Linked DNA regions of Macaca mulatta. The protein of the gene in region 3 purifies or fractionates together with the protein of the main gene of each other region. This does not show direct contact. Links are inferred from orthologs where the notes say so. Each region holds a gene or a part of one and is shown on either strand. Other genes may lie near its edges. The genes, in order: VCP, SERPINA1 and DERL2.

Region 1 (3,861 bases), on a different chromosome or scaffold from region 3:
GCACTCATGGACACATCCTTTTTGCACCCATGCCCTCCTGCACCTTTATAGCATATTTCTTCTGCTTGGGTATGTTACAGACAGATGAGCAATAGAGGGAAGATATTTTACACTGGTGCTCCCTGTCCTGCCCCCCTTGAGAAAGATGGTGGACAGACTGAAGAGCAGGAGCAAACTAGAACGAGAAATCAAAGGGCGAATGCTTAGTGATTTGAGAGAGTTTGGGGAAAATGAACTTCGATCACTGGCTCTTGGAGAATGCTATTTAGTGGTGTGCCATCTCTCCTGCTCTGGCTAGAGCATTTGTTGTCACATTTATACTTCTAGTTCAACTGTGAGACGAGTATACTGAGTCCCTGGGCTTCTCTCCAGCCTTGCCTGGTGGCTGTCCTGGGATAATGGCTGGTAGAGGATCTGAGAAGTAGGCGTAGGTTACCACCTTCTCACCCAGGACCTGTCTCTGGGCCAAACAAGCAAGATAACTGATTTTTGGGGGCAATTGGGAAAGACTGTCATTTTGTTATTGCCTCCATTCTGTATCCTTTCAGGTCCTGAGATCATGAGCAAATTGGCTGGTGAGTCTGAGAGCAACCTTCGTAAAGCCTTCGAGGAGGCTGAGAAGAATGCTCCTGCCATCATCTTCATTGATGAGCTGGATGCCATCGCTCCCAAAAGAGAGAAAGTAGGAGCTTACCTGAGGGGATAGTGGGGGGTTGAAAGGCCCTGACTTCACTTCTGACCAGACATCCTGTTCTGGCAGACTCATGGTGAGGTGGAGCGGCGCATCGTATCACAGTTGTTGACCCTCATGGATGGCCTAAAGCAGAGAGCACATGTGATTGTCATGGCAGCAACCAACAGACCCAACAGCATTGACCCAGCTCTACGGCGATTTGGTAAGGACTCCAGATACTTTTGACCATGTCCTTGCTTAGGTCCTACCTCTCTCCTTCATCTAAGTCACCTAATCCTCTTGAAGCCCTTCACAGTGATTGGATCTGGGTTTCTTTTTCCTTTATCCTACGTCCTGTCTAGAGTGACCATCTACCCTGGTTTTCCTGAGACTGAAAGGTTTCCCAGGGTTGAGACTTTTTCATTGCTAACATTAGGACAATCCTGTGCTAGCTGAGATGGTTGGTCACCCTAGGCCTGTCTCTTACCTCTGGACTAGAAACGAGCCCTGTCTATGTTCATGCACTGTCCCACAGGTCGCTTTGACAGGGAGGTAGATATTGGAATTCCTGATGCTACGGGACGCTTAGAGATTCTTCAGATCCATACCAAGAACATGAAGCTGGCAGATGATGTGGACCTGGAACAGGTGAAGTGATGATGAGGGCTGACCAGGCGTTACAATATCTTTAGGCAGTTGCTGGGAACTGGCTAGAGACATAAGGTTTTGATGTGAGGAGATGGGTTTTTATTTCTGGACAGGGGAAAGGAGGTAATCTGAGATTAAATCCAGGAAATTGGAGTTGGCATTTTTCTCACTTGACGCTGCATTTAGAGTAAATCAGAATTGTTGGAGCAGCTTTATTTCTAGGTCCTGAGTCCAGGATTAAGTACTTAAAACCCAGCCCATAAAGGTTTTGCTAGTATATGTATTCAAGGAAATTAGAGGACGCAGGGATAGCAGTCAGGGGAAGCATTCTATTATCTCTGAGCCTCCTGCGGCAGCTGGGTCTTTGAGGCAGCACAGTAAATAGATCTTTCTCTGCAGGTAGCCAATGAGACTCACGGGCATGTGGGTGCTGACTTAGCAGCCCTGTGCTCAGAGGCTGCTCTGCAAGCCATCCGCAAGAAGATGGATCTCATTGACCTAGAGGATGAGACCATTGATGCCGAGGTCATGAACTCCTTAGCAGTTACTATGGATGACTTCCGGGTAAGGACCACACCCCTGCCTCAGGTACACACATATGTGCTTTGACCCCTCCCCTGGTAAGTCTCATCCCCAGTTTTCCCTCCTTTTCTAGTGGGCCTTGAGCCAGAGTAACCCATCAGCACTGCGGGAAACCGTGGTAGAGGTGCCACAGGTAACCTGGGAAGACATCGGGGGCCTAGAGGATGTCAAACGTGAGCTTCAGGAGCTGGTCCAGGTAGGGTAACTTGGTCCAGGGTGAGTCACTGCCTCAGTACATTGTAATTGACCTTGGTGATCTTAGGGTGTCAACACGTTTGCTGCAAGAGATGTGAGAGCACGACTTAGGAACCTATTTTTCTTAGATTTGAGGCACTAAGGAGTCTGCTTCTAGAGAACCTGGATCTGATACCATTGGGTACACCATGAAGTAATGGAGGGCATGCTTCTGTTTAGTTAGGTTTCTTTCACAAGGTGGAGGTAACCTTGAACCCTCTTTCCTTTTCCTCCTAGTATCCTGTGGAACACCCAGACAAATTCCTGAAGTTTGGCATGACACCCTCCAAGGGAGTTCTGTTCTATGGACCTCCTGGCTGTGGGAAAACTTTGTTGGCCAAAGCCATTGCTAATGAATGCCAGGCCAACTTCATCTCCATCAAAGGTCCTGAGCTGCTCACCATGTGGTTTGGGGAGTCTGAGGCCAATGTCAGAGAAATCTTTGACAAGGTGAGCTACAATAGGCTGAGCTATCTATTGATTTGCCTGGGGACAAGGAATAGAGGCTGTTTTTCTTTAAGACGGTTGAAACATTCTTATTACTGGCTGCTCAACTGGACAGCAAGTCACTTGATTTTCTGAGGTGTGAGAGAGCTGTTTTTTTTTTTTTTTTTTCTTAAATTGAGACAGGGTCTGGCTCTGTTGCCCAGGCTGGAGGGCAGTGGTATAGTCATAGTTCACAGTAACCTTGAAACCTGGGCTTAAGCCATTCTACTGCAGACTCCTGAGTAGCTGGGACTACAGGCATGCGTCACCACATCTGGCTAATTTTTTATTTTTTGTAGAGATGAAGTCTCAGTATGTTGCCCATGCTGGTTTTGGATTTCTGGCCTCAAGTGATCCTCCCACCTTGGCCTTCCAAAGTGCTGGGAATACAGGTGTGAGCCACCACGTTTGGCCGAGAGATCTAGTTTTGTTAATGCTTGAATCAATCCATTCCTCCTACAGGCCCGCCAAGCTGCTCCATGTGTGCTGTTCTTTGATGAGCTGGATTCAATTGCCAAGGCTCGTGGAGGTAACATTGGAGATGGTGGTGGGGCTGCTGACCGAGTCATCAACCAGATCCTGACAGAAATGGATGGCATGTCCACAAAAAAAAATGTGTTCATCATTGGCGCTACCAACCGGCCTGACATCATTGATCCTGCCATCCTCAGACCTGGCCGTCTTGATCAGCTCATCTACATCCCACTTCCTGATGAGAAGTCACGTGTTGCCATCCTCAAGGCTAACCTGCGCAAGTCCCCAGTTGCCAAGGCAGGTGCAGGATCATGGGCTGTGGGAGACTTGTATGAGTCCTCAGTCTGGTATAGAGTGCTCTTTGGGTTCTGGACAAGATTGCTTTGGGGTTAGGGTTGGTCTAAAGGGAAGGTAGAATTTTTGAGGGTATTAAGATAATCTAGAATCAGGAATAAAATGGGGTGGCCAAAGAAGGGGCAAACTAGTTGGGAGTGCTTGGATGGCCCAAAGATCTGTGTATCTCAAGAGAGAAGAGGCTAAATGCTAAGGTAGCTCTGCTGCTTCTTTTAGGATGTGGACTTGGAGTTCCTGGCTAAAATGACTAATGGCTTCTCTGGAGCTGACCTTACAGAGATTTGCCAGCGTGCTTGCAAGCTGGCCATCCGTGAATCCATCGAAAGTGAGATTAGGCGAGAACGAGAGAGGCAGACAAACCCATCAGCCATGGTGAGTCTGTATCCTTTCCCCAGATGTGCCAGTCATGG
Region 2 (4,315 bases), on a different chromosome or scaffold from region 3:
TTTACTTTTGTGACTAGTAGTTAACTATGTGGCTGCCAGGCATATTCTCCTCAGCTAGGACCTCAGTTTTCCCATCTGTGTAGACAGCAGGTTCTACTTAGGGGGCTGCAGATTGATGGTCCGAAGTCTGGGCATATCTGGAGTAGAAGGAGCACTGTGGGGCATGGCAGGCTCTGCGTTGCTGTGGATGACACTGACTTTGACCATTGCTCAGCAGAGCCTGCTCTCGCCGGTTCAGCCACAGGCCCCACCACTCCCTATTGTCTGAGCCCCAGCTATGAAACATGTATTCCTCACTGGACTATCACCTGAAGGCTTTGAATTTGCAACACCTGTCAACCCCTCCCTCAAAAGGGTTGCCCTCTCAGATCCTTTTGATGTAAGGTTTGGTGTCTAGACTTATTTCACTAAATTCTTCCAACAGCCTCACTTTATGTATGAGGCAAAATGAGGACCAGGGAGATAAATGACGTGTCCTGGCTCATACACCTGGAAAGTGACAGAGTCAGATTAGATCCCAGGTCTATCTGAAGCTAAAAGAGATGCTTTTTCACTTCCCACCACCCCCATCTCCTTTAAAGCAGCACAAAGCCTTGCTTCACAGGAGAGATGAGCTTCTCTAAAGTCCCTGACAGCAAGAGCCCAGAACTGGGACACCATTGGTGATCCAGATGGCAGGTGAGCTGACTGCAGGGACATCAGCCTATTCTTGTGGCTGGGACCACAGAGCATTGTGGGGACAGCCCCCTCTCTTAGGAAAAAACCCTAAGGGCTGAGGATCCTTGTGAGTGTTGGGGGCGAACAGCTCCCAGGGGATTTAATCACAGCCCCACCATGCTCTAGCTGGTGCCATTGTGCAAGATGCATTTCCCTTCTGTGCAGCAGTGTCCCTGGCCACTCAACAGTGGGATTAGATAGAAGCCCTCCAAGGGCTTCTAGCTTGACGTGATTCTTCATTCTGATCTGGCCCGATTCCTGGATAATCGTGGCCAGGCCCATTCCTCTTCTTATGCCTCATTTGCTTCTTTTGTAAAACAGTGGCTGTACCACTTGCATCTTAGGGTCATTGCAGATGTAAGTGGAGCTGTCCAGAGCCTGCGCGCAGGACCTAGATGTAGGATTCTGGTTCTGCTACTTTACTTCCTCAGTGACATTGAATAGGTGACCTAATCTCTCTGGCTTTGGTTTCTTCATCTGAAAAAGAAGGATAGTAGCATCAGCACCTCACAGGATTGTTACAAGAAAGCAATGAGTTAACACATGTGCGCACGTAGAACAGTGCTTGGCATATGGTAAGCACTACATACATTTTGCTATTCTTCTGATTCTTTCAGTGTTACTGATGTCAGCAAGTACTTGGCACAGGCTGGTTTAATAAGCCTTAGGCACTTCCACGTGGTGTCAATCCCGGGTCACTGGGAGTCATCATGTGCCCTGACTCAGGGCCTGGCCCCCGTCTCTGTCTTGCAGGACAATGCCATCTTCTGTCTCATGGGGCGTCCTCCTGCTGGCAGGCCTGTGCTGCCTGCTCCCCGGCTCTCTGGCTGAGGATCCCCAGGGAGATGCTGCCCAGAAGATGGATACATCCCACCATGATCAGGACCACCCAACCCTCAACAAGATCACCCCCAGCCTGGCTGAGTTCGGCTTCAGCCTATACCGCCAGCTGGCACACCAGTCCAACAGCACCAATATCTTCTTCTCCCCAGTGAGCATCGCTACAGCCTTTGCAATGCTCTCCCTGGGGACCAAGGCTGACACTCACAGTGAAATCCTGGAGGGCCTGAATTTCAACGTCACGGAGATTCCGGAGGCTCAGGTCCATGAAGGCTTCCAGGAACTCCTCCATACCCTCAACAAGCCAGACAGCCAGCTCCAGCTGACCACCGGCAACGGCCTGTTCCTCAACAAGAGCCTGAAGGTAGTGGATAAGTTTTTGGAGGATGTCAAAAAACTGTACCACTCAGAAGCCTTCTCTGTCAACTTTGAGGACACCGAAGAGGCCAAGAAACAGATCAACAATTACGTGGAGAAGGAAACTCAAGGGAAAATTGTGGATTTGGTCAAGGAGCTTGACAGAGACACAGTTTTTGCTCTGGTGAATTACATCTTCTTTAAAGGTAAGGTTGCAAAACCAGCCTGAGCTGTTTCCATAGAAACAACCAAAAATATTCTCAAACCATCATCTCTTGAACTCTCCTTGGCAATGCATTATGGGCTATAGAAATGCATGTCAGTGTGGGCTCTTCAATTTTCTACACACAAACACTAAAATGTTTTCCATCATTGAGTAATTTGAGGGAATAATAGATTAAATTGTCAAAACCGCTGACAGCTCTGCAGAACTTTCCAGAGCCTTTAATGTCCTTGTGTGTACTGTATATGTAGAATATATAATGCTTAGAACTATAGAACAAATTGTAATATACTGCATAAAGGGATAGTTTCATGGAACGTACTTTAGACGACTCTAGTGTCCCAGAATCAGTATCAATTTTGCAGTCTGAAAGACCTGGGTTCAAATCCTGCCTCTACCACTATTAGCTTTTGACACCGAACAATGCATTCTACCTCCTGGAGGTGCTAATTTCCCATCTTAGCATGGACAAAATACCATTCTTGCTGTCAGGTTTTTTTTAGGATTAAACAAGTGACAAACACCTTGGGAAAAGTGTGGCATACAGTAGATGGTGGGCTCTTCTGTATCTCAGGCTGCCTTCCTGCCCCTGAGGGGTGCTCTTGAGGCAAAGGAGGGCAGTGGAGAGCAGCCAGGCTGCAGTCAGCACAACTGGGGTCCTGGCTCTGCTGTGGCTTAGGGCAGGCCCCGGTCCCTCTCCAGCCCCAGTCTCCTCCTTCTGTCCAATGAGAAAGCTGGGATCGGGGTCCCTGAGGCCCCTGTCCACTCTGCATGCCTCGATGGTGAAGCTCTCTTGGCATGGCAGAGGGGAGGCTGCTCAGGCATCTGCATTTCCCCTGCCAATCCAGGGGATAAAGAAAACCCTCAGGAATAGTAAGCAGAATGTTTGCCCTGAATGAATAACTGAGCTGCCAATTAACAAGAGGCAGGGAGCCTTAGACAGGAGGTAACAAATATGCCTGATGCTCCAACATTTTATTTGTAGTATCCAAGACACCCTCAAATAAACATACGATTCCAATAAAATGCACAGTCAGGATGGCATCTCTTAGCCTTACATCTCTGCGATGTAGAAATTCTGCATCTTCCTCTAGTTTTGAATTATCTCCACACAGACCTTTTTGGCAGCCTGGATGGTTGGTTTCAGCACCTTTTGCAGATGATGAAGCTGAGGCTTGAGGGATGTGTGTCGTCAAGGGGGTTCAGGGCTTCTCAGGGAGGGGACTGATGGCTCCTTTATTCTGCCACACTCTTCCAAACCTTCACCCACCCCTACTGATGCCCGCCTTACCCTCTCTGTCCAGGCAAATGGGAGAGACCCTTTGACGTTGAGGCCACCAAGGAAGAGGACTTCCACGTGGACCAGGCGACCACCGTGAAGGTGCCCATGATGAGGCGTTTAGGCATGTTTAACATCTACCACTGTGAGAAGCTGTCCAGCTGGGTGCTGCTGATGAAATACCTGGGCAATGCCACCGCCATCTTCTTCCTGCCTGATGAGGGGAAACTGCAGCACCTGGAAAATGAACTCACCCATGATATCATCACCAAGTTCCTGGAAAATGAAAACAGCAGGTGATTCCCCAACCTGAGGGTGACCAAGAAGCTGCCCACACCTCTTAGCCACGTTGGGACTGAGGCCCGTCAGAACTGACCAGAGGGTTGGAGAGGGTGAACACTACATCCCTGGGTCACTGCTACTCTGCATAAACTTGGCTTCCAGAATGAGGCCACCACTGAGTTCAGGTGGCACCGGCCATGCTCCATGAGCAGGACAGTACCCAGGGGTGACGAGGTAAAGGTCTCGTCCTTGGGGACTTCCCACTCCAGCGTGGACACTGTCCCTTCCCAATATCCAGTGCCCAGGACAGGGACAGCAGCACCACCACACGTTCTGGCAGAACCAAAAGGGAACAGATGGGCTTCCTGGCAAAGGCAGTAGTGGAGTGTGGAGTTCAAGGGTAGACTGTCCCTGTGGGGATGGGGGAAGAGCCTGTGTGGCTAGGCCCAGAAAAGCAAGGTTCAAAATTGGAATAGCCAGGGCATGTTAGCAAAAGGCTTGAGTTTCTCTGTCACTTTATCGGTGCTGTTAGATTGGGTGCCCTGTAGTAAATGATACTCCAATATGAGTCACACATTAGTGTGTCTGTGTGCATTCGTAATTATGCCCATGCCCTC
Region 3 (4,415 bases):
AGTCAGGAGTTCAAGACCAGCCTGGCCAACAGAGCAAAACCCTATCTCTACCAGAAATACAAAAATTAGCCAGGCGTGGTGGTGGGCACTTGTGATCCCAGCTACTCGGGAGGCTGAGCCAGGAGAATCACTGGAACCCCAGGCGGAGGTTGCAGTGAGTCGAGATCGTACCCCTGCACCCCAGCCTGGGCAACAGAGTGAGACTCCGTCTCAAAAAATAAAATAAAATAAAATAAAAATTTACGTTTGTAATGGCTAAATATAGAGTGGTTATAACTGTTTGGCCGTATATGTAAGGTAGGATTTCTGTTTTTTTTTTTTTTTTTTTTTGTGAGACGTGTTCTGGCTCTGTCACCCAGGCCGGAGTGCAGTGGCACAATCACGGATCACTGCAGCCTCAACCTCCCGGGTCCAAGCAATCCTCCCACCTCAGCCTCCCAAGTAGCCAGAACTACAGGTGCAGGCCACCATGCCTGGCTAATTTTCTTGTTGTTGTTATTTTTGTTTTTGTTTTTTGAGACAAAGTCTCACTCTCTCGCCCAGGTTGGAGTGCAGTGGTATGATGTTGGCTCACTACAACCTCGGCCTCCTAAGTTCAAGTGATCCTCTTAGCTCAGCCTCCCACGTAGCTGGGATTACAGATGTGCGCCATCGCTAACAACAAAAAATACACTTCCTTGATTAACTCCTTCCTTTTAATTCCCATCAGGACCTCTCTTCGGGCACTGGCTGATAAACTTCTACCGCCTCATCTTCTCTGCTAGACTTAAAGAGTTCCTGAAGGCAGAATAAATGTGGCTTGATCAGTATTTGCCGATTCAACGCAGAGGTGCCCAGGCCATCTTAGTGAGTTAAGCGAAGACCCGGCGATCGCGCTGCACAGGACCCAGAAGCCAGAGCGCCGGAACTTCCGGCCGGCTCCCGGCATCCGTCGGGCCCCGAGCCCGCGCTGCATGCTGGGACCTTCAGGTTGGAGCCCGCTGTAAGGCCGACCCACGGGCCGCCGCGCTCCCTCGCGATGCCGCCTAAGCCAGTCTCGCCCGTCCCCGCTTCTCCTCAGAGAAAATGCTGCCCCGCAGTACTTACCGGAGCGACCATGAGGGTCACGAATTCGAGCACACACAGGCTTCCCGCCACCTCCTTTAAACCGCCGCTGGCTTGCCAGCGACAGACGGCGCGGTTGGCTCCCCAAAATTCCGACTGATACGCGCCTCGGCGAGCGAAAGTAAACGCGGGATACTCTCGCGTTCCTGATTGGCTGGTTGGGGACACGTCAATTATGACAGAAAGGGGCTGGGCGGGAAAGTTAGCTGTGGCCGGCGGGGATTGGCAGAAGGAACCTGTACTTGGGGGGCTGGGGGGGGGCGGTGGCCACGCAACTCGTGATTGGCGGATGTGCCTTCCTTAAGTCTCTACGGATTGGCGGCTGGCCGATTGCTTGGCGTTGATTGGGCAGCCGCGGGAACCCTAAAGCGGGCGCGGGGGAGGCCTTTGTCCCGCCCAGCCGCCTGGGCCTGCTGGCGGAAGGGGAAGTGAGGGGGGCAGGCGACGGTGGGGAAGATGGCGTACCAGAGCTTGCGGCTGGAGTACCTGCAGATCCCACCGGTCAGCCGCGCCTACACCACGGCCTGCGTCCTCACCACCGCCGCCGTGGTGAGCAGCTGCAGTGCCACCTTCTCATTATCTGGGCTGGATATGACTGGGTCTTCAGGAAACTGGGGTTTGGGCTTCGGGGAGGCCCAGAGGGGCTGGTCCCGGGGATGGTTGGAGACGTACAGGGATTACTCTGGGGTTCGAGTTGGCGCCGAGAATGCTTATCCAGTGACCTGAGAAGGGAGTGCTGCTTCATGGGGGGTCAGGTCAGTTTCTAAGAGATGAGGGCCGGACCTATACCGGGTTAGGGTTGCGGGAGCCTCCCACCCGAGAAATGTGTCCGAGAGCTCTGCCAATGGCCAGGTGGTACCGTGGTGACTAGTGAGAGGAAGGTCCGTTTTATGAAGAAACAGGAATGAGGAAAGCAAGGTGGAAACTGTCCAGAGGGGAGTGGCTTATAATAAAGAGGGTCTCTGGGTAACAAAGGGCTAGCTGGAGGTACCCAGCCCCAACGGTGGCAGGGTCTCGAGTCTCCGTTATTTCAAGTGAGTTTTGTTGTTTCACACGGCTGTTTCAGGTGGTGCCCATGTGGTGGGTAGATTCATAGCAGCTGTTTTTATTTGTCCTGTGTCTAAAATATCACCACCTGTCTGCCTCATTTCTTCATGTCAGCCTCAACTATTGCAACATAAACTTTTTTGTGTTAGGTATTGAGGATACAAAGAATTCTACCAATTCTAGAGAATTCTTTACCAACCTCTTCCTCTGGCCTAAGAAGAAAGGCTTAAAGAAAATCAGTAATTGACCGAGAGTTGGAAATTGCTAGACCTACTAATCCTTTGTTGTAAATGATGAAATTTTGTTTCTTGGTTGATTTGCTTTAAGAAGCTCTTTTTCTATTTCAGCAGTTGGAATTGATCACACCTTTTCAGTTGTACTTCAATCCTGAATTAATCTTTAAACACTTTCAAGTAAGTGGTTCATCACAATAGTGATTAATGCTTCAGTTTCTTCTTTTACTTACTGTTTAGTAGCAAATCCCGTTGTACACTATCCTAAAAAAGAACCCCATGGGGGACCTTTGATTATAAGTTGTCTTGTCAGGATGTAAAGCAGTGATTCTGCAGCCTGGTTGGACTTGAGAATCCCTTAGGGAACTTTGAAGAGATTCCCAAGCTCCTCAACAAGTACCAAATCAGAATTTGCAAGGGTAGGAATTAAAATCTGTGTTTCATTTTTAAAGTTCCCTGCATCGTTTTGATGTGTCCAGTTCCTGTATTCGGAAATCACTGGTTTAGACTTAATGTTGTAGTATGAGAGGAGAGTGACCAGCTAGCTGCTTAGGGGTTGTCTCTGCAGGGATGGCCTTATTTTGTCCATTCACCACCTAGGCACGCCCACCACCTTGGTGTTATCATGATGGTCCAGAAACTCAATTCTGTTAGTGCTTTTAAATTGTGATCTGTCTTCCAGTGATCAGATCATACTAACAAAATTCCAAACATCTAAAGCTATGTGGTGGTTTATTAGATTACAGTGGGAGATGGTCCTTTCCGGTGATTAAAATGTCAAAAGAGGCTGGGCGCAGTGGCTCACGCCTGTAATCCCAGCACTTTGGGAGGCTGAGGCAGGCAGATCACCTGAGGTCAGGAGTTCGAGACCAGCCTGGCCAACATGGTGAAGCCCTGTCTCTACTAAAAATACAAAAATTAGCCGGGCGTGATGACACATGCCTGTAATCCTAGCTACTGGGGAGGCTGAGGCAGGAGAATCACTTGAACCCGGGAGGCGGAGGTTGCAATGAGCCGAGATTATGCCAGCCTCTGAGACAAGAGCGAAACTCTGTCTCAAAATGCTAAAAGAAACATGGATTTTTCTGTTCCAAGATGATCTTACAGACCATAGTTGGAGTAGGGGAGAGACCCAAAAGCCAATAATTGTGCCTCTACACATGCTGTTCCCTCTGTCTCAAATGTGTTTCGTTCACTTTATACCCATTGAACTCTGGCTTGCCTTTCAAAACGCAGCTTTTGTGTAACCTTTATGTACTCATCCTCCTTTGTTTTAGAGCATCTCTCACCTTTACTTTGCAGTTATGTGTATGCTTGTCTCCTCACTAGGATGAGGACTCTAAAATCTGGGTAATTAATATGTAGAACTGAATTGTTTCAACTTTAATAGTTACCAATTCTCAAGAATTTAGTGATTTGTAAAGTAGTCTTGTCATCTCTTGTCACTGTGTTCCCACAATACTCACATGGAGCTGTAGTTCCATCCAAGTAAGTCTTGCTTCCTACTTGGCTTGCTTGGTTTTACTCTGCCTGGGGTTAAACTGTTAAACTCTTGATGACATTTGGAGTTAGGACTTTGAGATTTGCCATCAGTCTCCATCTACTCCTGCGGGTCCTTGGTCAGGACATTTAAAAGTTCAACTTTCAGCTGAGTAACTAGTGTTCAGCTAGTAGTTCAACTTTTAGCTGAATAACTAGTATCAGCTAGTTATTCAACTTTTAGTCTTTTAGTTTCCTATCTGTGAATTAACTTGCTTGTCTCACAGAATCACAACAGATAGTAGACATTTTAAAATGTTAAGCACTCTACCATTGTGAGTGGTTACTGTGGGTGTGGAGAGGTTGGGTAGGGAAGGGTGTATCAGGGTTTCCAACAAGAAAATGAGTGTTTGGCCGGGCGCGGTGGCTCACGCCTGTAATCCCAGCACTTTGGGAGGCTGAGGTGGGTGGATCATTTGAGGTCAGGAGTTTGAGACCAGCCTGGCCAACATGATGAAACCCTGCCTCTACTAAAAATAAAAATATTAGCCT

Evidence for each region.
Region 1: the proteins of DERL2 (region 3) and VCP purify together in Homo sapiens (affinity purification with western blotting; 4 studies listed by BioGRID and IntAct, with this or other methods). This does not show direct contact. The link is inferred for Macaca mulatta from reciprocal best matches to the Homo sapiens genes DERL2 and VCP.
Region 2: the proteins of DERL2 (region 3) and SERPINA1 purify together in Homo sapiens (affinity purification with western blotting; 3 studies listed by BioGRID). This does not show direct contact. The link is inferred for Macaca mulatta from reciprocal best matches to the Homo sapiens genes DERL2 and SERPINA1.

What each region holds. Positions count from the first base shown.
Region 1 is NC_133420.1:64,665,705-64,669,565, forward strand, and holds part of VCP (transitional endoplasmic reticulum ATPase), read left to right. Parts: intron 1-508; coding exon of another isoform or gene 509-548; coding exon 549-682; intron 683-760; coding exon 761-896; intron 897-1,208; coding exon 1,209-1,321; intron 1,322-1,720; coding exon 1,721-1,885; intron 1,886-1,976; coding exon 1,977-2,099; intron 2,100-2,374; coding exon 2,375-2,587; intron 2,588-3,085; coding exon 3,086-3,394; exon of another isoform or gene 3,395-3,451; intron 3,452-3,582; exon of another isoform or gene 3,583-3,667; coding exon 3,668-3,823; exon of another isoform or gene 3,824-3,861. UniProt on the Homo sapiens protein: Necessary for the fragmentation of Golgi stacks during mitosis and for their reassembly after mitosis. Involved in the formation of the transitional endoplasmic reticulum (tER).
Region 2 is NC_133412.1:167,658,529-167,662,843, reverse strand, and holds part of SERPINA1 (alpha-1-antitrypsin), read left to right. Parts: intron 1-582; exon of another isoform or gene 583-678; intron 679-1,467; exon of another isoform or gene 1,468-1,470; 5' UTR 1,471-1,474; coding exon 1,475-2,120; intron 2,121-3,441; coding exon 3,442-3,712; intron 3,713-4,315.
Region 3 is NC_133421.1:6,989,052-6,993,466, reverse strand, and holds the start of DERL2 (derlin-2), read left to right. Parts: upstream 1-1,516; 5' UTR 1,517-1,560; coding exon 1,561-1,653; intron 1,654-2,498; coding exon 2,499-2,564; intron 2,565-4,415.